Linked DNA regions of Notamacropus eugenii. The protein of the gene in region 1 purifies or fractionates together with the protein of each later gene. This does not show direct contact. Links are inferred from orthologs where the notes say so. Each region holds a gene or a part of one and is shown in the gene's direction. Other genes may lie near its edges. The genes, in order: AXIN1, LRP5, PPP2R5A and DVL1.

Evidence for each region.
Region 2: the proteins of AXIN1 (region 1) and LRP5 purify together in Homo sapiens (affinity purification with western blotting; 3 studies listed by BioGRID). This does not show direct contact. The link is inferred for Notamacropus eugenii from reciprocal best matches to the Homo sapiens genes AXIN1 and LRP5.
Region 3: the proteins of AXIN1 (region 1) and PPP2R5A purify together in Homo sapiens (affinity purification with western blotting; 3 studies listed by BioGRID and IntAct, with this or other methods). This does not show direct contact. The link is inferred for Notamacropus eugenii from reciprocal best matches to the Homo sapiens genes AXIN1 and PPP2R5A.
Region 4: the proteins of AXIN1 (region 1) and DVL1 purify together in Homo sapiens (affinity purification with western blotting; 3 studies listed by BioGRID). This does not show direct contact. The link is inferred for Notamacropus eugenii from reciprocal best matches to the Homo sapiens genes AXIN1 and DVL1.

Annotation. Positions count from the first base shown.
Region 1 is NC_092872.1:54,636,917-54,644,273, forward strand, and holds the start of AXIN1 (axin-1), read left to right. Parts: upstream 1-4,348; 5' UTR 4,349-4,477; intron 4,478-7,357. UniProt on the Homo sapiens protein: Component of the beta-catenin destruction complex required for regulating CTNNB1 levels through phosphorylation and ubiquitination, and modulating Wnt-signaling.
Region 2 is NC_092873.1:20,619,899-20,627,107, forward strand, and holds the start of LRP5 (low-density lipoprotein receptor-related protein 5), read left to right. Parts: upstream 1-4,202; 5' UTR 4,203-4,424; coding exon 4,425-4,479; intron 4,480-7,209. UniProt on the Homo sapiens protein: Acts as a coreceptor with members of the frizzled family of seven-transmembrane spanning receptors to transduce signal by Wnt proteins.
Region 3 is NC_092873.1:426,020,010-426,027,717, reverse strand, and holds the start of PPP2R5A (serine/threonine-protein phosphatase 2A 56 kDa regulatory subunit alpha isoform), read left to right. Parts: upstream 1-4,692; 5' UTR 4,693-4,775; coding exon 4,776-4,983; intron 4,984-7,708. UniProt on the Homo sapiens protein: The B regulatory subunit might modulate substrate selectivity and catalytic activity, and might also direct the localization of the catalytic enzyme to a particular subcellular compartment.
Region 4 is NC_092876.1:34,807,026-34,814,025, reverse strand, and holds the start of DVL1 (segment polarity protein dishevelled homolog DVL-1), read left to right. Parts: upstream 1-3,982; 5' UTR 3,983-4,123; coding exon 4,124-4,293; intron 4,294-7,000. UniProt on the Homo sapiens protein: Participates in Wnt signaling by binding to the cytoplasmic C-terminus of frizzled family members and transducing the Wnt signal to down-stream effectors. Plays a role both in canonical and non-canonical Wnt signaling.

The DNA of each region.
Region 1 (7,357 bases):
GCCTCTTTTATGGGAGATAATTTATCCCATTCAGTCTCCTCCTTCCTTCTTCCAGTGCAATTTTCTTTCTCACTCCTTTATTTTGTTTTCTTTTGGGGGAGTATCATCCCATCAAAATCACCTTCTATCCACCCCCTCTCTCTACATATGCTCCTTACTTAAAGATATTAAGAGTTACAAATATTATCTTGACATATAGAAAAATAAACAGCTTAACCTTAGTGAATTTCTTTTGTTTTCTCTTTCTTGTTTACCTTTTTATGTTTCCCTTGAGTCTTGTATTTGGAGGTTAAATTTTTTATTCAGCTCTCATATTTTAATTAGAAATGCTTGAAAGTCCTCTATTTTTTTTAATATCCATTTTTCCCCTGGAAAGATTATATTCAATTTTGCTGGGTAGGTGATTATTGGTTATAATCCTAAGTACTTTGCCTTCTGGTATATCATATTCTAAGCCCTCCAGTTCTTTAATGTGAAAGCCACCAAATCCTATGTAATTCTGACTGTAGCTCCACAATATTTGTATTGTTTCTTTATGGCTGCTTGCAATACTTTCCCCTTGATCTGTGAACTCAAGTATTTGACTATGATGTTCCTGGGAATTTTCATTTTGGGATCTCTTTCAGGCAATCATTGGTGGATTCTTTCAATTTTTGTTTTGCTCTCTGGTTGGTCTAGGGCAGTTTTGTTTGATAAATTCTTGAAAGATGTTGTCCTGGCTTTTTTTTTTGATCATGGCTTTCAGTTGATCTAGTAATTTTTATATTATCTCTCCTGGATCTATTTTCTAGGTCATTTGTTTTTCCAGTGAGAAATTATACATTTTCTTCTATTTTTCTTTTACTTTTTTGATTTTGTGTTATTGTATCTTGATGTCTCATAGAATCATTAGTTTCAACTTGTTCAGTTCTAATTTTTAAGGAATTTTTTTCTTCAGTGAACTTTTGTACTTCCTTTTCCATTTGACCAATTCTGTTCCTTAGGGAGTTATTTTCCTCAGTAAATTTTTGTATATTTTTTCCCATTCTATTGACTCTTCTTTTCATGATTCTTTTGCATTACTCTCATTCCTTTCCCCAATTTTTCTTCTGCTTCTCTAATTTGCTTTTTAAAAATCTCTTTTAAACTTTTCCAGGAATTCTCTTCGGGCCTGAGACCAAATTACATTTTCCTTTGAGTCTTCACACATAGCGATTTTGACACTATGTCCTTTTCTAAGTTTATGTCTTGATCATTCCTATCACCATAATACTTTTCTATTTTCAAGCTCTTTTTTGTTTTTAACTCATTTTTTCTTGTTGCCTCTCCCCACCCCACCCCTCACCACACTTTTTCTGTGACTTGGTGTTTTTATGTGAGAGTTGTCCTCTGGTTCTGCACTGTCCCAAGGTTTTTGCACTAGGGCTCTAGGTTTTACTCTTGGCTTTCACTGGGCTTCAGGGCTTAGAAGATGCTTGTCTTTCCTGGAACGTAGGCTTCCCTTATGGCTTTCACTAGGAGGTAGGCCTTCCTTGTTGACCAAGTGTGGAATTTAGCTGCTGGCCTGCCCCAGGGGTGGGGTCCTATTGCTGGGTTGCTATTGAAACAGGGTCTCTCTGCTGGTAGGCCCCTGGGACAGGGTCTCAGTGTTAGGCAGCCCCAGGGTAGGGCTTCAGTACTGGTCAGCAATGGGGTCAAGGCCTGGCTGGTGGCTTGTGCTTTGGGGGATAGGGCTGTGCTTCTCAGTATAGACTGCTTAACTTGCCTGGGGGGCTGCTGACTTGCAGGAGGGTGGAGCCTCCTAGGTAGATTTGCTGCAGGTCTCCTTCTGTGAGGCTGGCTGCTGCTGCTACTGTTCTTAGACCTCGCTCCGCTCCCACCCCAGTGAGACAGACCTTTCCTGCTGTGCTGGTAAGCTTCTTTCCTGCTCCTGGGTCAATTCTGAGGTGGTTTTCTAGTTGTTTCGAGGGGAATTTGGGAGGACTTCAGATGGTTCCTTCCTCACTCTGCACTAAGTCTGTAGATGTCTTAAGATTCCATGCTGAGGAAGTTTGTGTTTCTCTTAGAGGCAAGAGAGTTGTTAAAGATTTTTGAGAAGAGATATGTGAGCCATGGCCTTTATTTTAGGAATTTTGGTTTGACAACTCTGTTGAGGATGGATTTGAGAGGGGAGAGTTTGGAAGCTTTGAGATCAATTAGGAGGCTTTTGCCATAGTCCACGTGAGGGGTAATGAGAATCTGAATTAGGGTGATGATCTTGTGAAGTGTGAGAAGGGGACTGATGGCAGAGATGTTATGAAGGCAGTATTAACAACTGATAGGGTATGGGGATTGAGGGAGAGGGAGGACTCAAGGATCATACCAGTGGTATCAGTCTTGGATGACTGAAGTGACAGGGAAGTTTAGAGGGATGTATTTTAGGAAAATGAGCATCTCGTTTTAGGTAGAGATGTCCTGTAGATAACAGAATATGTAGCATTGGAACCTGGAAGAGACATCAATTCTAGATACATAGATTTGAGAAACTGCAACAAGATGATAATTGATCCCATGGGAGTTGATCAGGACATTAAATAGATAGAAAGAACAGAGCCCACTTAATGGGCAAAGAAGGTGATGATGATCTAGCAAAAGAGTTTGAAATGAACTATTTAGAATTCTAGAAGGAGAACTAAAAGAAAACTGTGTCAGGAGCCAGTGGCATAGTGGATAGCGTACTCAATTTGGCATCAGAAAGACCTGGGTTCTAACCCTACTTTAGATACTTGATGACTTCCACCCTGGGCAAGTCACTTACCTTCTCTGTGTGGCTATTTCCTCTTCTCTAAAATAAAGCTGGACTAGCTGCCCACTCAGGACTAGCTGCCTGCTCAGTTCCTTTCCAGCTCTAATTCTATGATCCCAGGTAATTCAAGGGAGGAGAGAAGGAAAGGGGAAGAAAGGGATTGTCAGGTCCAAAGCTTCAGAGAGATCAAGTAGAATGAGGACTGAGAAAAGGCCCTAGATCTAGTAGATATCCTTGGTAAGAGCAGTTTATTGAGGGCTGGGGTCAGAAGTAGAAATGCAAGGTACTCAGAACTGAGTGGGAAGGGAGGAAATGGATATAGGGAGTTTATCTTGGAAAAGGAGAAGAGAAGTTGGTCTGTAGCTTAATAGGTATGGATGGATAGCTTGAGGGGAAGTAGTTATCAAATGAAGGTTTGTGTGTGTGTGGTTTTGTTTATTTTGTTCTGTTTTTAGGATGTGTGAAACCTGGATCTTTTAGTAGGAACAACTCAGTGGATAAGGAGATACTGAAGGTGCGAGGGAGAGGGAGCAGTCACTTCTGGAGGATATGGTGACAAGACTACAAGTTGCAGGGTTATCTGCAACTGGGACAAAAGAAAAGATAACGGGGGATAAAGAAGAAAAGGGATTTCGGGGTATGGAGGAGAGAAGAGGAAGCTTAGGATGGATGCCCTTTCTTCTCTCCACCTTTCCAGTTCATCTCCGGGCCTCTGCTAACGTTCCTGGCCATCTTTCCTTGCCGCCCTTCTCCTCCTCTGCCTTCCCTCCAGTGTCTTCCTTTCCTTCTCATCTCCCCCCTTTTCTTTCTTTCCCTCCTTCACCTTCTCCTTCCCTTTCCCTCTCATCTCCCCCCCTTTTCTTTCTTTCCCTCCTTCACCTTCTCTTTCCCTTTCCCTCATATTAGGACTCGTAGTGGAAGAGACCATTGAGGTGCATTTCACAGCTGAGCAGACGGAGGAGCGGTGACCTGAAGGGACCCTGCCCAGGTTACCAGGCTCGCTGGAGCTTTGCAGAAGCTCGTCTCTTCTGCACAGCCGCACTCCCTCTCCTTTTCCCCTTCCTTCCACCTCCCGCCGCGTTCCTTCAGCCCCTCCTCCCACTACTGGAGCTCCTCCCTCGTCTCTCCCTCCCTCCCCCGCCGCACACTTGCCCCGCCCCCAGTGCGCGTCCCCTCTCGGGGCCCCGCCCCGGCCCCCGCCCCCGCCCGGGGCCTCCCCCGCAATTCTCGGCGGCGCCGAGGGTGGCGCTCTGGGCTCGAGCTGAAGCTCGCTGGGCTCGGGGGCTCGGGCTCCCGGCTCGGGCGGCAGGAACCGCGGCAGGAGCAGCCACAGCGGGCAGGGGCCGCCTCCGCGGGGCCGGGGCCGGGGCCGCAGCCGGAGCGCCGGAGGAGGGGCCCGGAGTACGGGCCTGGCACGGGGAGCGGAGGCGGCGGAGGCAGAAGCCAGAGCGCGGGCGGGGCAGGAGCGGGCCGGGCCGGGCCGGGCGGTCGGCGCAGCCCGGGCTCTGCTCGGGCTCGGCTCCGGCTCCGCGCCCCAGCCCGCTGACCTCGCTCCACGGGCCTCCTTCCCCGTCCCGGAGGCAGCCGCCGCCGCCATGGGGAGCGCCCGGGGCCGCGCCCCCGCCCCGTCCCGCCCGCCTGGTCTCCTCTGAGCCGCATGGGCCGGGCCGCCCGCCCGCCCCGGGACCGGGACCCGCCGCCGCCGCCGCGCGGGTGAGTGGGGAGCCAGGCCGGGCCGGGCCGGGGCCGCGCATTCCTGAGGGGGGAGGCCGGGCAGGGGCCGCGGGGCGCGGGGCAGGCCCGGACCCGGAGCGGAGCCCGCCGGCCCAGGAGCCGGGCCCATTGTAGGGAGCTCGGTGGCCGCAGGGGAGGTCGGGGCCCCGCGCTAGGCCCGGCCCGGCTGGAGGGAGCGCGAGTCCCAGGGAGGGAAAGAGAGGGAGGAGGGGAGCTGGGGAGAGGAAGAGAGGAGGGACCTGGGGTCTGGGGGTGTCTGGGAGGGAGAACCTGGGGTCTGGAGGTGTCTGGAAGGGGGAACCTGGGGTCTGGGGGTGTCTGAGCGGAGAGGGGAGGGGGGACCTGGGGTCTGGGGGTGTTTGGGGAGAAGAGAAGGGAGGGGAGACCTGGGGGTCTGGGGGTGTCTGAGAGGAGGAGAGGGGAGAGGGTACTAGGGGTCTGGGGGTGTCTGAAAAGAGAGGGAAGGGAAGACCTGGGGGTGTCTGAGAGGAGGGGGAGACCTGGGAATGTCTGAGAAGAGGAAAGAGGGGAGACCTGGGGGTATCAGGGACGGGGAGAGGGGAGGAGGGACCTGGGGGGTGTCGGAGAGGAGGAGTGGGGGAGGGGGGGGTATCTGGAGTCTAGGGGTATCTGAGAGAAGAGGGAAGGGGATACCTGGGGGTATGGGGGTGTCTGAGGGAAAGAAAGGGGAGGAGATGTAGGGGTGCTTGAGAGGAGAAGGAAGGGTACCGGAGGGAGGGAGAGGGAGGAGAAAGGAGGGGGAACCAGGAAGTGCCTGAGAGGAGAGGAAAGGGGGGGACCTGGGGCATGCCTGAGAAGTCGGAATAGGGCACCTGCATATGCCTGAGAGTGATGAGGAGACCTGGAAACGTTTAAGGATAGAAAATGAAATTTGGGAGTGTCAGGAGACGGGGATGCTGAGGCCAAAGAGCAGCACAGGACTTGCTTACGAGTTTGTAAGGTCAGGATGTCATAGAGGTGTAGGTGGTGTGAGAAGGCTGAATGATGATTCTGGAGGTGAGTATGAAAATGTAGGATAGAAAGGGAGAGAATGTGGCAGAGGCCAAAGCAGTTTATGAAGTATAGCTAGTTGTGTGTATGTAAAATAGGATAGAGGAATTTACATGTGGAGGGCTATTTGAGCAGAAGGCTTTGAATTCACCCACTGCCCAACCTTGTCCTCTGCGCCCCCCCTACAAAAATAAAATTTCCAGAGTGAGGAAAATCTCTAGTTGTGAAGGGGGAGAGATGGTGGAATGTATCTGCATTTAAATGTAGAGAAATGTGAAGAAGAGGGGGTCCAAATAAGGAAATCTGAGGATAGAGTAGAGCCGGTGTCCAATTGGAGTCAGTCCCATAGGTGTGTGTGTGGGGGAGGATTGAAGAAGACAAGTGAGAAGAGGATACCTAATGTGAGGCAAGTTGGAGATTTGTAGAATGATTGTTAGAATCCCAGAATTAGACCTAAAGGAGGGATATTAAGAGATTGTGGCATAGAAATAACCCCAAATTGGAGCAGAAATACTGTTGTTTTTCTGTACAACGTGTAGTACTAGATGTGGTTTGACCTCAGAATTCAGGGGTTGCCCCTTGCTTCTGTAACCTTCCAAGACAACAGGTAACAAACCTAACTTTGTAGCCACGGACTAAACCTCACCTAGCGTGATTTTTTTCTTTAGGAGTCCCACTCCCAGCCTGCCGTCTCACCCCCTCTGCCCCTCCCCCCCCAGGAAACCTTAGGAATATGCAGTCTCAAAACCAGTGTTAGAGGGAGTCAGTAAAACTTTAACTTCTGAAGAAAAAAGAGTAAATACATCAATACTTCAGCGGTTTCATTCAGCCCAAATCTAAAATATTTTTACAAAGGGTTTTTATTGTGGAGATTAGCTTTTTTTTTTGGGGGGGGGGGGGGCTGCACAATAAGGTTCTGTGCTTCTCCCTGCAGGAAGTATTTCAAGTTCACTTGGATCCACAGGCCCTTCTACAGGAGTTCACCTGTAGTCTGGTTGGGTGGGAAACTGTATCTGACCTGAAACAATGTGTAAGAATAGCTCAGTTCCAATTCTAAGAAATTCAGCTGAGGGAAAAGGTTAGGATGTCACTTAAAAGACCATGTTCCTGTTTGATTTTCAGTAGCTTTGAATTGTCATCCCTTGCTCTGGTTTGAAATATGTTCTTGGGCTTTTTCTGTGGTGGGAGAATCAAGTTAGTGATCATATCACTTTTTAAAGAGTCCAGACACCTGGTACTCAGGAAAGGAGCTTATGCAATCCTTAAATTATAAAGGCATATCAGACTTTTAAAAGCACATTCCTTTCAAGGGAGAACTTTGTTGTTGGAGGTTACAGGCTCTGAGCCAGATTGCATATCTGTGGTTACTTTATTCTAGCATGAATTAATTTTACTGCATTTATTTATTTATTGAATGAGTGAGTGAGTGGACTTTGTATTGATTTACTTCTGTGTTGGAGACCTGAGAATCAAAGAATAGTGTTTTACCAGTCTACAGATTTGGTGGGGAGTGTTTTCCTTTTGGTACTTGTAGAGACAGCAAGGGTCTCCTGCCTTGTGTTAATTGACAACCCTTGTAAGTGGAAAGAATCTGAAATATTTCATTTGTGTGGAGAAAGATAAGTTTAACATGATCATAGAATGTTAGAGCAGAAAAAGAAGAGGAGGGTGATCTAGTCAAACTCCTTCTTTTGACAAATGAGGAAACTGAAGCCCCAAGTGGTTAAGTACTTTGCCCAAGGTCACGCAGTTCATTAGTGGCAAAACCAGGTTACAACCTAGGTCTTCTGATTCCTAGTCTAGTGTTCCTTCCATTATCCCATATTTGTTTTGGTGTATTTGATAAAC
Region 2 (7,209 bases), on another chromosome or scaffold:
TGTCCCATTGTTAATGCTAAACTGCCTAAAAAAAAGAAAAAGAAAGAAAAGAAAAGAAAGTCATAACATTTTCAAGTGTTTAGACTGAAAGGAGCCATCTCATTCATCCCATCCCCCTCCCCCCATAATATACTGTTTACATTTCAAAGCTTCACCTACAGAAGACTAGACTGGGAATCAGCCAGACCTGGATTCAGAGAATGCCCCAGGCATGTTCTAACTGAGTTTCCAGTGTCGGAGAAGCTCAAGTGTTCTCTTCTGTAAAATGGAGCTAACGAGATCTGAAGCCCTTACCTCTTGGGTTTGGGCAACAAGAAAATGCCCATAGGTCACTTTTTAATTGTTAAAGTGTTTTTACATATATGCCAGCTATTATTTTTAATTAAAGAATGTTATGACTATTTTTTGTTTGGGAAGACCAAGTCAAGTCCCATTTCTTACACATTCTGGCTGTGAGATGTGGAACCTCTTAGTATCCTGGGCAGTTCACTCTCTAAGACTACGTTACAGAAAACGTGTTGAGCTTGTGCTGGTAAAGGGCATGTCCTTCTCTGGTTTAGAGAATGCTCTTTACCAATGAAATCACAGGACTGCTCCTAGCTAGAGCCCTTCATTTTCAAATACATCCCTCCTCCACCTCCTCAGAAAGCAATTCTTGGGTTGATGACCTGTGAAGTCTGTATTTCCCCAGGGACCCCATAGACACAGACCCCTTCCTGAATCAGGTAGATGTAGAATAAAAGAAAGAAGGAAGGAAGGAAGGAAAGAAAGGGAGAGAGGAAGGGAGGGAAGGAGGAGGGGGGGAGTTCATAATCAATGAGCCACTGAAGGGACTGTATGGCCTCACTTTAGGAAAGAGGAATCATTTTCCAATTCTGTCCTTCCCTTCTCTCAGTCTTTACCACGTTGCCTAGCATTGTAAGCCCTGGGCCATTTGGCTCAAAACAAAACTCCTGGGCAAAGAAACTGAGGCTGCCCGGAGTGGCTTCAGAGTGCGGCTGTGCCCCAGGGCCCTTCTCTCTCTCTGTCTGTCTCTGTCTGTCTCTGTCTGTCTCTGTCTGTCTCTGTCTCTGTCTCTCTGTCTCTGTCTCTGTCTCTGTCTCTCTGTCTCTCTCTCCCCTCACCACGAGGCCAGTTCTCTTGAAGAGGTTATAGGGGTGATGGGGACCCCAAAATACCGACAGTCCGGGTCGTGCTCGAATGAATTCGACTCAAGCCTTCTTAAAGCCAAAGAAAACAAAGTTTATTAAAGATTCGCCTAATTGGGTTGCCTCTTCAGGACCCTAAGCATTTGTAACGCTTGTATTCACAAGCGGGCCAGATAGAATCCAGGCTAGACGGGGTGTGAGCTGGATTCAATCTGAGCGCCTTCATGGAGGCAAGGTGGGACTAAATACAGAAAAGAGTATAGGAGGGGTCTGGGGGGGGGTCTAGTAGTCCAGGGTGATGGGAGGAGGGATTTAGGAAGGGTCTTGAGGAGAAGTCCAAGGAGGGTCAAAGGCTGGAAACAGCTGGAGGCTATCAGGAGAAATCAGACCACGGAGCGTTTGGGTGGGAAGCAGGTGGGGCAATCCAGAGACCTAGATAGGGCCAGTATGTGGATGGATACAGATCTTGATGGGAGTGGCTGGCAGCCTGGGGAATAGGGTTTTGATGAGATCAAGGGTTGGGGGTGCAACAGAGACCTGAAATGATAATGTAAAACCCATAGGCTTCCTGAGACTGTGGAACAAATGGGAAGATTAGATTTGAGTAAGAGAGGCCAGATTAAGTGGGAAGATTCAAGGGGAGCTCAAGGAGGCTCCCAGAGTCTGAACCTCATCACTCTGCACAGACGGTTCCTCTACATTCAATCCTTGTCTCTCCTGAGCTCCATTCCAGTGATCTCAACAGCCTCCTGAGCATTTCTAATTGGACTTTTTGTTGGCATCTCATACTCGGTACAGCCTGAGCAGACCTCTTTCTCTTTCCTTCACGCTCCCACTTCTTCCTCAGTTCCCTGTTTGTGCCAAAGGTACCCCCACCCTTACAGGTACTCAGGGTTCAAACTTCTGGCTCCTGCTCTACCCTCTTTGTGGCTCCTCATCCTTGCTGGACTAGGTGGCTTCCCAGGCTCCTTCCAGTTGGGAGATTCTGAGTTTCAAAGACCATTCTCTTTTGGGGGGGGGGGTTCCCAGATTTCCCTTTAAACATTTTCAGTCATCCTCTTGAGCATTTCTTTGTTCACATCATTCAGTCAGCACTTATGAAATGCCTACTGTGTGCCGGGCACAGACGCAGCAGGTGCTTGAGATGCAAAGAGATCCAAGTTCACGGAGCTTACATATATTGTGACCTTACATTTTATATATACGCCTACGAACATGGACAAAATGGATGCAGTAAAAGACGTAAGATCTTCTTGAGCTGAGGGGATGGAGAAAGGCCTCCTGTAGGAGGTGTCCTTGTACTTACTCTGCCCAGGCAGTCAAGGGAACTATGGATTCCAAGATGGGAGGTGAGGTGGTAGAGCATTGGGGCAGCACCCAGCCAGCACTGAAGCTGACAGTCGCTGAGCTGCTCGGGGTGAGTGTCCCAGGTGAGGAACACTTAGAAAGCCAGTTTGACTGGAAGGTAGAGGCCCAGAAGGGGGAGCAGGGGCAGAGGGAGAAGGGACACAGAGAGAGGGGTTGGAGGGGGAGGGCTCAGGTTGCACAGGATGACATAGGTTCAGGGGAGGCCCTGGAGCCTCAGTAAAAGCCCTGCACTGGAAGTAAGAGAACTTGAGTTCGAATCCAGATTCCCTGGAATGCCCTTTCTGAGCCGCAGTTTCTTGCCCAGTAAAAGGAGGCAGCCAGTGAGCAGCCAATCCAGATGCTCCAAGAAGGCCAGGTGTTTACAGGAATCCTAAAAGAGCCCAGGAGGCCATGGTGGGCAGGGCCACCTTCAGCCCTCCACCCACCATTCAGGCTCCTCCCTGGACAGGGCAGGGATTGTCACAGTGCTTGGCACAAAGTAAGCAATAAATAAAGACTGACTGCCAGATGGGTCACTGATTAGCCAGAGTATGTTTGTTCGTGTGGGTGTGTGTGTGGGTAGCTCACGTGTTGTTAGAATTCCTGAGTCCCCCTTGTGGATCTTTCACATTGGGCAGTCTGAGCCTAGCCAGAGACCCCACAGGACAGAAGGCTGGGCCCAAATCAACAGGGGAAAGGATTGATATGAAGAGGGGTTAGGACAACTTGTAGATGTGAGCTAAGTATTGAAGGAAGTCAGGGAAGCCTGGAGGAGGGAAAGCATTCCAGGCATGGGGGGAGAGCCCATGAAAATGCCTGGAATCTCATTCTGGAGCACCCAGGAGACCGGAGAGTGTGTGGTGGGATGTGGGATGTGAGAAGCCTGGAAAGTTTTGTGTGTATGCAGGGAGGTGAAGTTAGGAGGGACTGAATGACAGAGGATTTGATAGTGAATCTTGGAGCTGCCAGGAAGTCGCTGGAGTTTTCTGAGTACGGGGTGACATGGTCAGATCTGAGCTTGAGGAAGATCTCCTTGGCAGCTGCGAAGGGCAGACTTGTTGCAGGCAGGCCCCTAGAATGCCACAGAAGTAGTCCAAGCCAGAGGTCTGAGGGGCTGCCCCCGGTGCCAGCGCTGGTTGCCAGTGCCGTCAGAGGAGACAGAGCTGGGCAAACCTGTCCAGTTGACATCGACAGGCCTTGACCGCAGCTTGGCTATGGAGGAGGGGGAGAGGGAGGAGTTGGTGTCCAGCTTTAGAGCCGGGGGTGGGGGGGAAAGGGGGAGGATTGAGAGGAGGGTGGTGCCCTGGACCACAGCGGAGTTAAGAAGGCGGCAGTGTTGGGGGGGGGGGGGGGGAGTTTGGCACAAGTTGAGTTTGAGATGTCCACTAGGCATCTGGGTCTTTGGGATTCAAGGTCAGCAGACAAGTCCACTCGGGAGCTCGGCCGCACGCGGGGTGACAGGCCCGGCAGGTGGCAGCTGGCGGGCGCGAGAGAGCGCGTTAGATGGGGGCTGGCAGGCGGGGAGGCGGGGCCGGCGAGGCAGCTGGGGGCGGAGAGCCGCCTGGGCTCCCGCCCCCCTCCTCCTCCCCCTCCTCCTCCTCATGAACGTCCTCCCACTGGGTTGGAGGAGGCTTGGGGGAGGCCCGCGGGGAGGGGGCTAGGGGCGCCAGGAGCGCACGCTGGGGGAACCGAGCTGCCCTGGGGAGCCGGCGGCGGGGCCGGAGCGGGAGCCGGAGCGGGGGCCGGAGCGGGAGCCGGAGCGGGAGTCGGAGCAGGAGGGGGCGCCCAAGCCAGAGCCGGAGCAGGAGGGGGCGCCCGAGCAGGAGCCGGCCGGCCCGCCCGGGGGGACGCGCGGACACCTGGGCCCCCGCGGGCCGCGCCATGGAGCCCGAGTGAGGCGGCCGGGCCGGGCCGGGCCGGGGCCGGACGATGGAGGCTGTGCTGGCGTTGCTGGTCCTTTGCAGCCGCTTGGCTCCAGCGGGAGGTGAGTGGGGCCCCCGAAGCTTTGTCTCCTGGGGCCCAGCTTGGCCGGGCCTGGGCCGCCGGGACAGAGGCAGGGCTTCGCGATCGTCCGGGACCAGCGCAGCCCAGCCTGGAGCTGGGGACAGGGGCCGGCGGCGGCGGCCGAGGGGGGATCCCCCACAGGCACACATTCACTTTTGGGGAGTGCTGCAAAGGCGTTGAAACAATAGAACTTTGCTGGGACCTGCTCGGCGGCTGGACGGCCGGCCTGCTGCCTGCCTGCCGGGGGCGGGGAGCAGGAGCCGGGCGGGCCGGCCGATCTCGAGTTCAGAAGTTGGCTTGTGGGCCTGCGACTCCCCGCGCCGGCGGCCCGGAGCCCTGGGGGTGGGGTTCAGAGAAAGGAAGCCCCCGAGTGGCCCCCGCACACGCTCCCCCCGCCCCTGCCAGTGCCCGAGTGGGGCTGTCCGGGCCCTTTGTCTGGAGGTTCCGGGGAGACGTGAGGCCGAGCCGGGAGGGAAGCCAGGGGCCCCCAGCCTGCGCGCCCACCCCACGCTCTCCTCCTGCTTGGGGTGCTTTCCCCCCAGGAGCAGGGCCCTGGGTGCCACGGGGTGTGGCCCAGGTGCGCGCCCCGCGGAGTCCAAAAAGGGTGGCAATAAAGGAGCAGGGCACTCAGGCAGTCTGCTGGAGCAGAGCTGGCTGCCAGGTACGGCGGCCACCTGTGGAGAGCTCAGCACCACCCACCGTGTCCCCCTGCACGTTGCTCCCCCCCTTTTTTTTGCTGGGGAAAGAAGAACCCGCAGGTGGAAGGAGCCCACATTGGGGCCCAGCCCACTTCTGGCCACCTGCTTTTCCTTGTGATCCCCAGTGGCCCGGGTTCGATGCCTGCAGCCCCCCTCCCCTTAGACATGGAGAGCCCCTGCTGGGCCCCTCCATCTAGAGGCAGCCTGCTCTGCCGCCTCCCCTGACTTGGCCGAGGAGGAACCCAGAGAAGTCCCCCAAACCCTGCTCACCTGGCGGTTCGGGCTTGGAGGGAGGGTGCTGGTCAGAGGCCCCTTGGCTTGTCCTAAGCGAGTCTACACGTGCAGAGGGAGCTAGACTGGCAGCAGTGGTCTGGGGAAGTCTGGTTCCTAAGGTTTCGGTAACTATTTTACTCGTGTAGACGTAGCTTTGGGGGAACGAAAAGCTGTGGCCTGCCGCTGCAGGGTGTGGGGAAACAATGGCATTGCCTGGCCTTGTCTGGAAGCTTTGGGTGCCTGCCTCCCAAAGGCTTAGGTTTGAGGCCCTAGGTGGCCCATGGAGTCTGGAAGGGCAGGCTTCTCCTCCACCTTTTATCTCTCTCTTCTTTGTGTGACCTTGGACACCTCACTGCATCTGAGTGCTCTGATGTGGATTTGCATTGGTATTGGACAGTTTCCCAGGCCAGGTCTAGTGCCCCCTTTATCTCCCCTTGGTTCCGGCCTCCTCTTGCTGCTGGAGTGGAAGGGGAGCAATGTGCTGGAGGTCTCCCTGCCCCTAGCCTCTGCCCAGGGTTTTAGTATCTGTACTTGGGTCTCCCTTAATGGTTTGGGGGCTTTTCTGAACTTAATACTGAGTTTGCAGTAAGTTTATCTCTGTGTCTGCAAAGTAAAGAGGCCTCATCTTCTGCTTGTCCTCAGCCTTTTCTGAGGTTCTGTGCTGGGAGTACACTCCCCTCCTCCTGGGGCTGATTCTCATTTTAGGAGTAGAGGGAGCAAAGACCCTCCAGGCCCCGCCCTGGAGGCTCCTGGGCACACATTGGACAGTTTTTGTCACCTTACTTTTTGATTTTCAGCCTATTTCCCCCCATTAGTCATTCAGCTAAGCACCTACTATGTGCCAGTCATCTGGCTGTGACAACCACTGTCATACAGAAGTTGCTGTTCAGTCGTGTCCAACTCTCTGGGCCCCCGTTTGGGGTTTTCTCAGGATCCAGGCAAGGATCCTGGAGTGGTTTGCTCTTTCCTTCTGCAGTTCATTTTAGATGAGGAAACTGAAACAAAATAGCTTGAAGTGATATACTCTGGGTCTGAGGCCAGATTTGAACTCAGGTCCAACTGACTCCAAGTGGGGGGATCTATCCACTACACCACCCAGCTGCCTCCATCAAACAGAGAGGAAGCACCAAAGTCTCTGGCTCCAGAGTCAGCATGCTTTCTCCTACTTCTATTGCTTCCTTTCTGCCCTCAGCTTGCAGTCTCTAAAACTGGAACAGTTATACCCATAGTACTTCCCTCACAGGGCACGAACAAGGCAGGCAGGTAGCAAGCAATTATTATGTGCTTCCTGTGTGCCAGGGACTATATTAAAGAATCTCTGAGATATAGAAGGAAGTAGAAAGCCCCTGGCCATCCCTCCCCCCAGTTTACATTCTCAGGTGGGAAGACCACATGTAAAAGGGAACTAAAATTGGGGGAGGGGAGGGGAAATGAGACCCCAGTTCTGAGCCCTGTGTGAATGTTAACCCATTAATTCTGTGGGGCTTAAAACTGGCAAAACATGGCACGTTCATTATCAACGTCCCAGTAGGCCTATTAAGTGGCTACCATTGTGATTGGTATCTCCTTTTTTTGGAGGGGAAACTGAGTCCCAGAGAGAAGTGATTTTCCTAAGGGTTGCAGCGAGAAGGTATCACTCAGGCAGGATTTAAATCCAGGTTTTCCTGACTTTGAATCCTGAGAATCTCTTCATGTTCCATACCGCCTGGGGAAAGAGAACGGGCCATGGGAGGCAGAGG
Region 3 (7,708 bases), on another chromosome or scaffold:
GGAACATACTCTCTTCCTTTAAAATTCTACTTTAAAATCATCTCTTCCAAAAAAGTTTTCCCAGACTAATTCCAACTCATTTCTATTTACTCCAGTTTTTCCAACAACTCCATCCCAACACTTATAAATGTAGCTTTATACATCTGCAACTAGTTATGTACTATATTTGTGTGTTTTCTGTTGTATAACAACTCAGATTAAGACAGTGCTTGAACATTTACAAAGCAATTTCCTCAGAACTACCCTGAAGTAAGTAGAACAAATATAATTTCCCCATTTTAAAAATGAAGAAATTGAAGTTCCAAGATTTTTAGTGACTTGCCTATATTTACACAGCTAGTTAAGTGACAAAAGAAGGATTTAAACCTGGGTTTCTTCTAAGTGCAAGACCAGTTTTCTTTCTACTGAACCATATTCCCTCTCTTAAATATGTTTTGTCTCATATTCTATTTAAGTATAATAAAATTCATGGGCTTAAGAGATCAGAGTTTTTAATAAAAATGAGGTACTAGAGGGGGTAAGTAACTTGGCTAACAGCTAATAAGTGGCAGAACAGGGACTTCTGACTCTTTGTAGAATTCTCCTTCAACTTTGGTGGTATAGGGCTGAAATGGAATCAGCCCCTTACTTTTGTGACCATGAGCAAACCATTTAATCCCTCTGGGTCTCAATTCTCTTATCTATAAGGAGGCTGGAATAAATGGGATCTAAGATCCCTTTGTTCTAAATTCATGACAATGGTTCTTTCTTCATTACCAAAAGATAATATTACATAGCAGTGATCTTGGAACTGGCATAAAATAATATCCAAAAAGCCCTAAATGAAAATAGATATTATAAAGGAGACCAAGAATCAGACATTTTTTAAATTATTAAATACAATGTGTAAGAAATTAGATCATGATAAAGAAAATATGAACATCCTCTAAGACTTCACAGTCTAGAAGGAAAAAATAAAAACTTTAGATCATAGGATTATATGGCTATAGATCATATGGCTTCCTTAATGTATGGGTCTCATTACCATTGTGCTGCAAGTGTTAAGCCTATTTTTCCTGTTGAAGCTGGGTGTATTTGAGGGGAGAGTATGCCCCAGATTTATGGAGTAAATGTTTTGTAGGTATAATTTTACTTTATCTTCTTAGTAAATGCCTTTGGCTAAGAGTTCATTGTATCTACTGGCTTACTGTTTATGGGAAGCATACCAATGGGGGCTCAGAAATTATATTTGTAGGAACAGTCACACATAGGGTTATCCCTAGAATCCAAGATAACAACCACCCTCTAAGGCTCTATTCCTGGAAAGAAAGTGTTAAATTAGGAAGTAGCAAGTGAAAGAACTGAGACATTCAAGTGACTTGTTCAAGGTCTGAAAAATAGTAAGTAACACAGCCAAATTTGAACTCAGGACATCTTATTCTGGATCCAGTGTCTCTTCTACTATATATCCCAAATCTTGATAAATACAACACAAGTCAATTTTTAACTGCTATATGAGTGTGATAGCTGTGTGCAATAGATGGTCATGAAAGGTAGGACTGGGCTCAGTGGGGAAGACATCTTGGAGAGTTTGATCTGGGTCATGAAGAAAAGCAAGCATTTTGAAATACCTCATAAGATCATAGAGTCACAGATCTAGAGTTGGAAGAGATCCTAGAGTCATAGACCAACCTCACTCATCTAACAGATAAAGAAGTTTAAGCCTAGAGAGACTGGCCTAAGATGATACAGGAAAGAGGCATAACTGAGATTTGGTATGAAGAGGAGTAAATAAACATTAAATATCTACTGTGTGCCAGCACTGTGCTAATCACTTTACAGTTATCTTAACCGATCCTTGCAACAACTAGGTTGTGAGGTACTATTATTATCCCCATTTTACATTTGAGGAAACTGAGGTGACAGAGGTTAAATACTCACCAAGGGTTGCAGAACCAGCGTCTGAGAATGGATTAGATCTAGGTCTTTCTGACTCCAGGCACAGCCTTTTATCCACTGTACTATGTGCTGCCTCTGATTTGAACCAAGTCCTCTTGCCTTCAGATTCAGCTCCAATGATGCAGACTGGGGGAGTAAAAGCAGGTTCTAGGCCAAGGATTATTAACTTTTTTTGTATTGTATCCTCTTTGGTGTTGTGGTAAAGACTTTGGACCCTTTTTCACAACAGCATATAACATAGGATCACAAAAGAAACCAAATATATTGAAATGCAAGTATCAAAATATTACAAGAAAAGACAAGTTCACTGACCCTAGGTTAAGAACCCCTATATTGTTGGTGAGTCCTGTTTGATTTGTCATGAGACCATTTGGGGTTTTCTTTGCAAAGATGCTGAAGTGGTTTGCCATTTCCTTTTCCTATTCATTTACAGATGAGGAAACTGAGGCAAACAGGGTTAAGTAACTAGCCCAGGGTCGCACTGCAAGCAAGTGTCCGAGGCCAGGTTTGAATTCAGGTCTTCTTGACTTTAACCCAGTGTTCTATCCACTGCACCACCTAGCTGCCCGTACCTTAAGTAGAAGGAAAATCAGAGGTGGGAAAATCAAGGGTACATTTTGGAAAAGGGAATAGATTGATCTATTTAATGGATGGATCTGTCATATCAGGGGTTCTTAAACTTTTGTGTGTGTGTCATGGAACCCTTTGACAATTTGAGGAGTGAAGCTGTTGCATCCCCTCTTAGAATAAAGGTGATTTTGTGCATAATTGAAGGAAATGCTCAATTTCAGTGAGAGGTTAGTGAAAATAAATGTGCAATTTTTTTCCATCCAAGTTCACAGACTCCTGAAATCTAGACACCTGAGGGAAAGAACCCCTCCCAGGGGAATGATACCACAAGGACTAGAAAGGTCTTTAAAGGTCAGGCTTTGAAGCCCTAGCTAAAGAGTTTGTACCTTATGGAGAAGACAGTTTGGAGAGAAGGTGTAGTGAGCTGGAAGCAAGGTCGGGCCAAGGGTATACGGCAAGTTTGTGAATAAACAGGGCAGTTTTGTGTTTTTAAAAACTCTCTGGTTGGTTAGTATTTGAGGACCTTGAGTTGGGGAAAGAAGGGGAAAACTTCTAGTACGGTCCAAGAGAGCGGTTCGGGGGAGGTCAGCCTGGGGGCTTTTCTGGAAAGATGTGCGGTGGCTTCAGAACCTAGCGCATGTGCTCCTAACGAGCCCGAGAAAGGGGAGGCGCCTGCATTCCCCAACACACATAAAAACTTTGGGGAAGGCTTTTATGTCCAACGCCCGCCCTTAGAAGCCTTCCTTTCCCTCCCCTCGCGTTCCCCCAGGATTCCCCGCAGGCTGTCAATCAGTGCCCGCTCCCGCCCCGACTGGACCGTGAGGCTGCCCTTCTAAGTGACGGATCACCGGGCGTTCTTTCCTCCGGGAGCCCGTCCCTATGGTTGCTGTCAGTCGCTTCAGTCGCTCATTGGCCAGCGGGCCTAGGAGGTGGGCGGGAAGGGGGTGAGGAGAGTGTCCGGCAAAGCCAATCCCCCTACCCCTTTCTAGTCTCCCTGTTCTTTCATTGGCTACCGGAAAATTAACACGCGAACACACGTGTGTATGTGTGTGTATGTGAGTTTGTGTGCGTGTGTGTGTTGGGGGGCGACAGTACCTCCCTTCTCCCGCTCTGGAGTGTTGGTTCCACTGCTATGACGCTGGTAGCGCGCCTCCCTCCCTTCATCGGTCATTGGTTGAGAGAGATGTCCGTCACACAGCGTCCCCTCCCTCTTTCCCCTCCTACCCTGCCCTCCCTAGTCCAGCCTTAGTCTCTTTTCAGCTTTTCTAAGTGCTACCCTAAGCTGTGTGATTGACTGTTAGGCGTGCCCCGCCTCTCTCCAGTGGCTTCGGTTTGCATTGGCGGGTAGCGCCTGTCACTTCTGTTTAGTTCACCACCCCTTTATAGGTTCTATCCCCTATTAGCCCGCTCCCCGCCCCCCACCTCCTGGAGCCTTAATTAGCTTCGCGGTTTTCGTCAGTGACACAAGCTCCTCTTCCTCCTCCTCTTCCCCTCCCCCGCCGTAGGCCCCTCCCTCCGGCCGAGCGAACTCCGGGCTAGGAGCGCGGGCGCGCACACCCTCCCCAGTGTCCGCCACCCTCCCGAGTTGTAGCGGTCGCGGCGCTGCGGGGGTTGGCCGTGGGCTGTGGACCGGCAGGCGGGCGGGGTGGGGGAGGGGGGGTTTGAACTTGGCGGCGCGGAGCGGAGCGGCGGAGAGCTGGGAGCGGCGTGGAGGGTCCGGGAGCGCGGGTCCACCTCCCGCTCGGGGAATGAGGGGCCGCCGCTGAGCAGGAGCGAGGAGACACCGAAGGGGTGGGGGGGAACACCGCGGTAGCGGCGGCGGCAGCAGCAGCTCGGGCCGTGCGGAGCCCCGGGATGGCCGCGGCGGGGGCGCCTCCCGGCAGGAGCACCGGCAGCGGCAATTGAGGCGCTCTCCTGGACGGCTCTCCGAGTCCTCTGCTCCCAGCGCTCCGAGGAACTTCCCTGCAGCTCCGCCCGCAGCCCCCAACTTGGAGCAGCCCGGGAGGAGCGCGTGCGGAGCTGGGAGCCCGGCCCGGGATGGGGCTCTGAAGATCTGGGGGGCAGGCGGAGGGCGGCCGGCCGGCCCGGGGCAGGAGGAGCGAGAAGACAAGGAACGGGGCGCTTAAGCGGCGCGGGAGCCGCTTTCCCTTCTCCCGGGAGCCGAAAGCGGGGAGGGTGCGGGCAGTTAGGGGGAACGGGGCCGGGAGGTGGGGGCTTCCGCTCCTCCTCCTCCTTCTCCTCCTGCCGTGACTGCCGCCGCCGCCTCCATGCAGCGCCAGCCTGAGCTGCCGAGCTCGGCGGCCGCGATGTCGTCGTCGTCCCCGGCCAGCACCGCCATCTCGGCCTCGGAGAAAGTGGACGGCTTCACCCGGAAATCGGTGCGCAAGGCGCTGAGGCAGAAGCGCGCGCAGGGCTCGTCGCAGTTCCGCTGTCAGAGCAACCTGCCCGAGCTGCAGCCCTTGCCCCAGCTCAAAGGTAACCGCAGTCCCCGCCGCCGCTGGCCCCCGGGCCCGGCTCGCCCTTCCTCCTCCTGGACACGGTCACTCCCCCTCCCGCCACCTCCAGCTTGTGCCCGGCTCTCGGGGTGCAGTGCAAGAAGCGTAGGCTTCACTTCCTCGGAGGTGCTGAGATGGTGGTGGTTTTGTCCCTGAATTACCTCCTCCTCCCCATCCAATCTCAGAACCACCCTTGGTATTGAAGGCCTCCGGGGGAGGGGAGTGGGGGGAAAGTTACACCGGCTTTCCCTTTCTCGTCAGCCAGAATTTGCAGCCTCCTGGGTCTCGGTTCCCCTTTTCCACCTGGGACCCCTCGATGGCCAGAGGGTCGGATTTGAACTCAGGTTAAACTTAGGCACACTTCTCCAAAGCTCATCTGCCTCCTTCTTGCTTTAACACCCGCCCCGGTTCCTTCTCCTCTTCCGACTTTAGCTTTCCTCGGGTTTCCTCACTTTTCTCTGCTACTTTAAGCCTTTCCTTTGACTTTTAGGGTAATGAGTAGGCTGGCAACACACACAGACACACACACACACATACACACACACTCACGCACACATAGAGACACACGCAAACTCCCCCTCCCAGTGATTACTCCTAGAGGCCATATTGATGAAGCCTGCTGATGTAAACAGCTGTCCTCCTAGTTGGGCTTTAGGAAATTACTTAGATATTTCAAGTGGAACTTTTCACTGGATAATGCAGAACAAACGCATTTTCCTAACCTGGGGACCAGGAAGACTTTACAACCCCTGTGGGCTCCGAATGCACCGAGGGCAAAATGGGAAAGGCATAATGAAGACAATCCTTTTCAAAGTGCTATGATAATTTTTTCCTGTGAGTGCGTTGTCCCAGTTCTGTAGCTTTTCAGAATGAGAATTCTGAAATACAGCAATTCAGAATGAGATTCTATCCAAAGCTGTGCAGAGGAAATTAGCAATCCCATTGGATTTTCCTCTCACTTTATAAGATTTTGACGGAGTTGTTTCCCCGGTGTTATTGGGAAATACTGTAATTTTCCTCTTTCTTTAACAGAAATACTTTGCGTTTGTATAGTTTTGACATTTAATGGATAAAGATGCTGTCTGAGATTGAAGTGGGATTCCATTTGACAGTTTTAGAAAACTAGTCAATAAAAGATACAAACACTAGCCAGTCACCATGGAAGAAATTCAGTAAAAACTTAGATTTTTTTCAAGGCCTGAAAAATAAAAGGTTCACAGTCATATATTTGACGATGAAATGCACAAAGTACATTTTAAAATCTTTTCTCCCTGCTTTGCCCACTCCTAAAACCAATCTGGGTCCCAGCTGTATGAATCTAGTAGAGACTGAAAGAAGAAGCCCCAAAGAAAACATTTATAGTATATATGAAATCTCTAGAACTGTTTCTGCTTCTTAGGCTCTAAACAGAAGACATTCTTCTAGGAAAAATAAGGCAGGTACTGAATCAGAATCAAACTAAATAGAGGTGGAACTTGTGAAATGTTGCCTCTGCTATCAACTTTAAGCTTACTCCTTAATATGTAATAAAAATTAATTGGAACCTAGATATCCTGGTCACTTGAGTTCAACTCACTAGTAGGCATTGCCAAGAAATATTTGAGAGTGATGTCATTCACATCTATAAGAAACTTGAGTTGTTTGGTCCTTTGTTTAGCCTAAATAATCAAAGTTGTGGTTTTTAAAAAGCCTTTTAATTCTAAATTATTAATTTGATTTGTAGTTAGAAAAAGTATGAAATAGTTTTCATTTCACTGTGTTAAAGGCAAGTTTAAAGTACAGCATAAATTGACTTCAGACTTTTAAGTATTATATCTACTTTTTAACTTAAATAAAAAAAATAAAAATGGAGAATAAAGGCTCTTAATTATCCTGTAAAGTAAGGAACTCTATCTTTATAACTTCCCCCTCCCCCAAACCCTTTCTGCTGTTCATACTGTCCTGAAAGGTAATTGGAGAGATGTTTGCTCCATTTCATCTGATTGGTGCTACCTTACTGCCCAAGGTCAAATGTAAGTGTGTTCTTTATAATGGCATATAGTTTGAACAAGTGGAAAGTTAGTCATTTTATTTAGTGTTTGGTCTTTGTGGAAGGGAACAACAAAATTAGAGTGTTGTAGCGATAAATGTTGCAGTTAATGTATGTTTGGCTCTTGGACTTTTTAGTGAATATCACCTTTTGGAAAACAAACATTCCTTAGAAAAGTGCTATTTATTTAACCAAATGAGCATATGCAAATTTAACCTTTCTTTGCTCTTTTTACACCTATGAGGAAAACTAGGTTAATTTTAATAGAATTTCGAAAGTGCTAGGAAAGCACATTTTAACCGATTGCTTCAATTAGCGTTACTTGTGCTTAATTAATGTGAAAAATTCGTGTATGGCATTGTAGGTACCCAAATACAATATTTTTCCCCATGGTTGAGTGCTACTGATTTTCTCATATGCGTAGATATATTCCTAATAAACAAAGAAAGAGAAGATGGTAGTATATGTGGGAAATTGCATATTCCTCTGTGCCCTCAGATTTTATCCTACTATAAAAGTGAAATAAGTATACATATGCATTCAGAAACTGTCATGTGTTTGTACCAACCTGCTCATGTTACAACTTTGTTCACGTAGGCCCAGTGTTGGCAGGGTGCCAGCTAGCTTTCTCCAGTATACCATGTGCAGGGATTACTTAACCAAATAATCCAATCTT
Region 4 (7,000 bases), on another chromosome or scaffold:
CCCAAGATGGCATGCAATCTGATATAGGCTATACGCATTTTCCCATTAGTCATGTAGGGAAAGAAGAGTCAGAAGAAAAGCAAAAAACCACAAGAAAGAAAAAAAATCAAAAGAGAGGAAAATAGCGTTTTGATCTGCATTCAGACTCCAGAGGTCTTTCTCTGGATGGGGATGGCATTTTCCATCATGAGTCTTTTGGAATCGTCTTAGATCATTGCTTCGCTCCAAAGAGCTAAGAATGACAAAATTTTTAGTGAGTGCTAAGTACTACCTATACCAATGCCACACAAGCTTGAAGTGTGCGTGTGCTTTTCAGGCTACACTTAAACCCTTTCATAAAGGAAATATGAACATGGAGAAACCAAATTTTAAAATGATTTTATATAAAATTGAACCTCTGTCACTTACAAGTGGATCGGACACCTGCCTTAGAGGCAGGAAGACTTAGGCAGAAGTCCTGTCTCTGTGGGATCACAGGCAAATCACTTAACCTCCCTAGGACCCAAGGAACTCTCTAAGCCAATTCAACAAACATTTACTAAGCATTCATAAAAGGCGACAGAATCCCTGCTCACAAGGAGATTACATTCTACAGAGATATACGTGTGTACATAAGTAAATGCAAAGATCTATGAAGTTGTAGAAGGTAGTTTGTTTTAAAAATTTTTTATTGGTATCTTTTGTTTTTTACATCACCTACATTCCCCAATACATCCTTTTCCCTCCTTTACAGGGAGCTCTCCCTTATAACAAAAATAAAAACAGGGGAAATGACCAATTTGGAGAAAGTAACTAACATATCGAAAAAGTCTGACATCATTTGCAGCGATCCACACCCAAAGTCCCCCACCTTTGCTAAGTAAGGTTAGGGCACAGTTTGGTGTCAGGGACAGCTAGGTGTCCTTGTGGATAGAGTGCTAGACAAGGTCAGGAAGACCTTAGACATGGGCAAATCATTTAACCTCTCAGCCTCAGTTTCCTCATCTGTAAAATGGGGATAGGGAACTCTCAGAAGAAAAAACTTCCTGCCAATGCAGGTCAATACCTTCTCTTTGATTCACAGTCTTAGAGACCATAAAAAGTTAAATAACTTGCTCAGTCAAATGCTAATAATAATAGTAATAACTGTTGTTGTTACTGCTGGTGGTGTGCAGTGGATGGAGCACTGGACCAAGAGTCAGGAACTGCTTACTAGCTGTGTGACCCTAGGCAAGTCACTTGATCTCTATCTGCCTTCCTCTTCTCATCTTTAAAATGGGGATAATAATAGCACCTCTCTCCCTCCCAGGGTTGTTGTGAGGATAAAATAAGATAATATTTGTAAAGTTCTTTGTAAACCTTAAATTGATGTATAATATATATATATACACACATTTGTATATGCAAATAGATGTATCTATAGCTATTTCTTCTTTTAATTTTTTTTATTTTCAGCACCAAATTCTCTCCTGCCTCCATCCATTGAGAAGGCAAGAAATAGGATATCATCATACGAATGAAGTCACACAAAATAGTTTTCCACAGTAGACATGGCAGTCCCCCCAAAAAAACAAGAAAATATTTGAAAGTAAAAATATATGCTTCATTCTGTACTCAGATTCCTTCAGTTCTCTCTCTGGAGGTGGATAACATTTTTCATGATGAGTCCTTTGGAATTATCATGGGTCATTCTCTTGAACTGTTCCTAGTTCATCATTGTTACAATGTTGCTGTTACTGTGTATGTACAATTGTCTCCTGGTTCTGCTCACTTCACTTTGCCTCAGTTCATATAAATCTTCCCAAGTTTCTCATCATTTCTTACAGTATGATAGTATCACATCATAATCATATGCCACAACTTATTAGTCATCCCCCAAATTATTTTTTTCCAAGGGGGGGAAGTACTAATAATTGGAGGGATGAGGAAAGGCCTCCTATACAAGGTTGACTCTAAGTTATTTTTTGAAGGGAGGTAGACGGACTAGACATTGGGGACATTGGGGACATTGCTACAAATAGTATTATAAATATTACAGTATGACAAATAGTATCCCATTTGATCTTCTTTACAACCCAGGAAGGTAGGTACTATTTTTCTTCCTACTTTAGTTAAGGAAATTGAGGCAGGCAGAGGTTAAGGAGCTTGCCCACAGTCACATAGCTGATAAGTGCCTGAGATCACATTTGAACTCAGGTCTTCCTGATTTCAGGCCCAGCTAGACCTGGGCCCCCAAAACTCCCTATGAATGCTAGCAAAATACTAACCAAAATATTCAGCCTTCCTACTTGGCTTCTGGGAGAGCAGCTTGGAGAAAATGGAGCTCCCAGTGCATAGGACAGGGGACAGATATATTGTATCAGCTTCCAATCTGTAACAATATTATCAGCCCCCACTCAGTGTCTGGCTACAAGCAACCTCAGAGGTCACCTCCCTTGCTTGGATGTAAGTGACAGATAGGAGACCCAGGCTCTCTCCCAGGACCTGTTGAAGACAGGTAGACCCTGAGAGGAAGCAAGGTGGCTCAGTGGATAGAATCTCTTGCCTGAAGTCAGGAAGACTCATCTTCCTGAGTTCAAATCCGGCCTCAGAAACCTACTAGCCCTGCGGTCCTGGGCAAGTCACTTAACTCAGTTTGCCTCAGTTTCTTCATCTGTAAAAACTGAGCTGGATAAGTAAATATAGCAAACTGCTTCAGTATCTTTGCCAAAAATGGGGTCATGAAAAGTCAGACGCACCTGAAGGAGCCATTCTAATGGTGGACAGGTTTTGGAAAGCAGCTGGGGGAGACCTATGTAAGAAACACTCCCAAGCCAGAGACACAGAGATACAGACAGGTGCGTATACAGACATCGAGACAGAGACATGGAGACAGAAATACAGAGCCTGGAGCCAGAGTCACACAGAGATATAGAGTGACACAGCCAGAGACAGAGATACCCACACATATTGACACAGAGGCAGAGACACCTAGAGAGACAGAAAAACGGAAACACTGAGACAGGGAGAAAGTGACATAAAGTGACTCCTAGCCAGACACAGGAGCTCAGATACAGAGACACACAGGGCCAGGCAGACTGAAGAAGGGAGACAGCCACAGAGAAAGGAACCCGCCAGGTCCTCCCTCGCAAGACCCTGCCCAGGACGGTCCTCTGACTCCAGGCTGCAGAGGCTGAGATCGCCCCCCAGGGCAGCGAGCAGCCCTCCCAAACCCCGACAGCCTTCAGCGAGGGGGAGGCACGGACGTCTCGTGACTGCGGCCGTAATCACGGGGGTCGGGGAGGGGGGACAAGGTGAGACGTCTCCTGGCTGTCCCTTCCCAACCCCCTCCCCCGCGATCACGGCCGCTGGGGCTGCGGTCCCTTTAATTCGGCCCTTGGCTGTGGAGGGGGGCGAGGCAGAGCCACGCGCAGAGACGTCGCGAGGGGCGGGGGGGCGGGGGGCGGTGCCGACGAGGGTGCGGGCGGGGGACCGGGCGCTGGGACTGGGTTCGGAGCTGAGGCTCGGGGCGGGGAGGGGGCGTCACGGAGGGAGGGGCCGCGGGCGGAGGCAGGCAGGGAGGGGGGCCCGGGGGCAGGGGGCCGGGCCTGGCCGGGCGGGGCGGCCGCATTACTCACGCTGCTAATTGCAGGGCGCGGGGAGCCCCCGATCCGGGCTCGGCGCTTGCCTGCCTGTCTGTGGCCCGCTCGGGCTCCGGCTCCCGCCGCCGCGGCCCTTTAGAGCTCGGTCGGTCCCCGGCCCGCCTCCAGCCAACCCGGCCGGTGGCCCCGAAGCCCCCCCCGGGCAGGCGTCCGAGGCGGCCTCCCCCGGCGCGCCCGGGCCGGGGCGCGGATGGGCGGCCGCGGGGGCAGCGCGGGGGGCAGCAGCCGGCGCGCCGCCTCCGCCTGGACCTCGGCCTTGGCCTCCCCCTGCGGCTGGCCCGGCCTCCCTGCTCGATCGGGAGCCGCCTCCGCCTCCGCGGCCTGGACCGGGGCCTGGGCCCCGTCGGCGCAGAAAGCCCGAGCCCCCGGCGCCCGGCCTCCGCTCCTGCGGCCGCAGCCGCGGTCCCCTCGGGGCCCCGCACTCCGGGCTCCGCGCTGAACCGGCGCCTCTGCCTCCGACGCCCCCGACGCCCCCTGCCCCGGGCTCCCCCGGTCCGCCCCCCATGGCGGAGACCAAGATCATCTACCACATGGACGAGGAGGAGACGCCCTACCTGGTCAAGCTGCCGGTGGCCCCCGAGCGGGTCACGCTGGCTGACTTCAAGAGCGTGCTCAGCAACCGGCCGGCTCACTGTTACAAGTTCTTCTTCAAGTCCATGGACCAGGACTTCGGGTCAGTGGCGGCCTTGGCGGCGTGCGCGGCTCCCGGGGCCCTGCTGGCCCTGCCTTTGCTCTGGCTCTGGCCTTGTCCCTGTCTCTGACCCCATTCCTGTCTCTGACTCCGGCCTTGGCCATCTCTCTCTCTGGCTCTGGCTCTGGCTCTGGCCCTGGCCCTGTCACTGGCCTCGTCCCTATCTCTGGCCCTGTTCCTGTCTCTGGGAGGGGGTGCATTGAAGGGTTCAAACCTCTCCCTACCCCAGGGCACCTGTTCCCTGACAGAGGGGTGGAGCTTCTGGCTGGGGTCCTTATCCCCTGTCCCCTCGTTTGTGCCTCGGGCTTAGTGTGTGTATATCAGTGGGGTTCTGGGGCTCTGCAGCTATGACTGGGGTGAAGTAAGCCACCCCATTGTGGGGACAGAAGTATTTAAGTGAGGAGAGTCCTTCCTCCTCCATCTGAATGTCAGCACTGACCAGGGTGGGTGGAGGAAGATGGGCCCTCTCTGGCCTTGGCAGGGTTTTTTGCCCTCTCAGACTCCTGGCTGGGCTGGGCACGCAGGGTTCTGTCCCGGGAAGGCCAGGCTAGGCCGCTGAAGCTAACATGGCTGCCCTGGCCAGAAGGCCTTGGGAGCTGGCGAGGGTGCCGGAGTTGGGGGGGGTGGAGGGTGCACCAGTGTGAAGGCAACTACACCCTCCTATATCAGCCGACTCTGGCCCCCACCTCTCTGATACCAGAGGAGTGGCTTCCCCTTCCCCCAAGCCTAAGAGACGGCCCTACTCCCTCCATTCTCAAGGGCCTCTCTCAGCATCCAAGGGATTAATGGGAGTTAAGAGGTGGGGGCTAGGACTGTGTCCTGGCTGAAACCAGGAGAGTTCCTCTCCTTCTCCAGGATCCTTTCTTGGGGAGAGGTCAGACCCTGTCTCTAGGGTCTCCCTGTCTCCCTGACTTGATGGCAGCATGCTGGCTGCCCACCACAGTGGCTGCCCACCATAGTGGCTGTCTACAGGGCTTAGGAATCCATTTTCTGAACCCCAGAGTCTGCTGGGTACCTGTTACTTTTCCCAGTCTCATTGCTGCTGTTTTCTTAGGAGGGGCTAGTTAGCCAAGATGGAGCTTTTCCCTTCTAAAGCTGGTGCTGGGGCTCATTTAACTAGGGCTGAATCTTTGCTAGCCAAGCCTGAGTGGGCCCTCAGCTGAACATCCTCAGCCCTGGCCCATTTTCTGTCCAGTGCCCCACTGGGTTTGGCTGGTTGACCTCCCTCCTATCGATTAGGCCTGGTAGGGCCTCTGACTGTGCCCTTGTTTACCAGCCACTTTCTGAGAGTTTGACATTGAAAATCATTTCCTGGTTCACATGGTTGCCTGCTGCCTCTGGCCCTGAGGAGGGCTGCCTGTTTCAGGGCAACGCTTTGGGGAACTGAGGCTTTACCCTGAGCAGCATTTGAACCCTTGGGGCTCTATGGGGAGCCAAGGTTTAGAGGGGCCAACTCTGGGGAGGCAAGGGCAGGTGCTAATTCTGTAGTGTCAAACTCAGAAAGTGAGATTCCAAGGGAGTCTCTAAGTTGTACATAATCTCTGTGGGGGAACATACCGACTTAGAAAGCTATGCATTAACATTATCTATGTTCTATTATATTTTTTGTTAAATTTTTAATATGACTTTCCAGTTACATTTTAATCGGGTTCCAGTCTCACTCAGAACTGTTGCATTTGGGATAGTGCATTTGACCGCACTGGTATACAGTAGAAAGGAGACAGAGGGCCCAGGTTTGAATCCCAAGAGTCCAATGGAATTCTTTGATTTTAGGAGCAGTATCATCAGTCACAGGATGTTAGAGAGAATGTCTTCCACTTCCAAAGTTGTGTGACTTTGGGCAGATTCCTTCCTCTTTCTGGGTCTCAGTTTCCTTATCTGTAAAATGGAGGGGCTGGACCAGATGACCTCCAAGGTCGCTTTCAACTTTACATCTGTAATCCTGTGGTTTCTGCTCCAGAGCAGGGGCTCTTCATCGTAGATAGGGTTGAGAGCTGCTTTCCAGTTATCTCTGAGACCTTTCCTCCCTCCTTCCCCCTCTCCCCAAGCTGAAAGAGCTCCAGACCCCTTTCTGGGGTGCCAGGGGTAGAGACAGAGGATCCTCATGTCTGCCTAGCTCTGAGATTAGTTTCTCGTGCTGGACAGCGCTGAGGCCCCCTCCTTAGAGGTTTTATTGGCTGGGAGGCCTCCGCTACTGAGCCAGTTCTTGGCCATTGGGGGAGGGGCATCAAGATTTCCCCCTCCCCCCATCCCTGACCTCTTTGCAAATCGAAGTCTGGTTTTGGAAGTTGCTTTTGTAAGCTCCTTTGTGGAGCTGGGATCGTGTATTCTGGCCTTGAGCCCCAAGACTCGAGTCTGGGGCTGCAAAAAGGATTGGTGCGTCTGGTGGTATCTTAGGGAACCCTTCGTGTGGGTACACCCACTTTCTGATGACCCAGGCTCCCGGTCTTTTGGGGAAGTCTGGCCTGGGGGAGGGGGGACTGGGATGCCTGGCCTTTCATCCCTGGGGTGGGGGGAGCTTCTGGGCTCTGTTCTGCTTGCTTGTTCATCGTATTTAACCTCAGGTCCCATTAAGCCCTAGGTTTATGGAATCTGGGGCTGGGCTCTGGGCCTGGGGTTCGAACTCTAGGGAGGAGGAGTAACCGAAGGAATAGCCTTCCCCAGGGCCTGGTTAGACCTTAAGTGACCC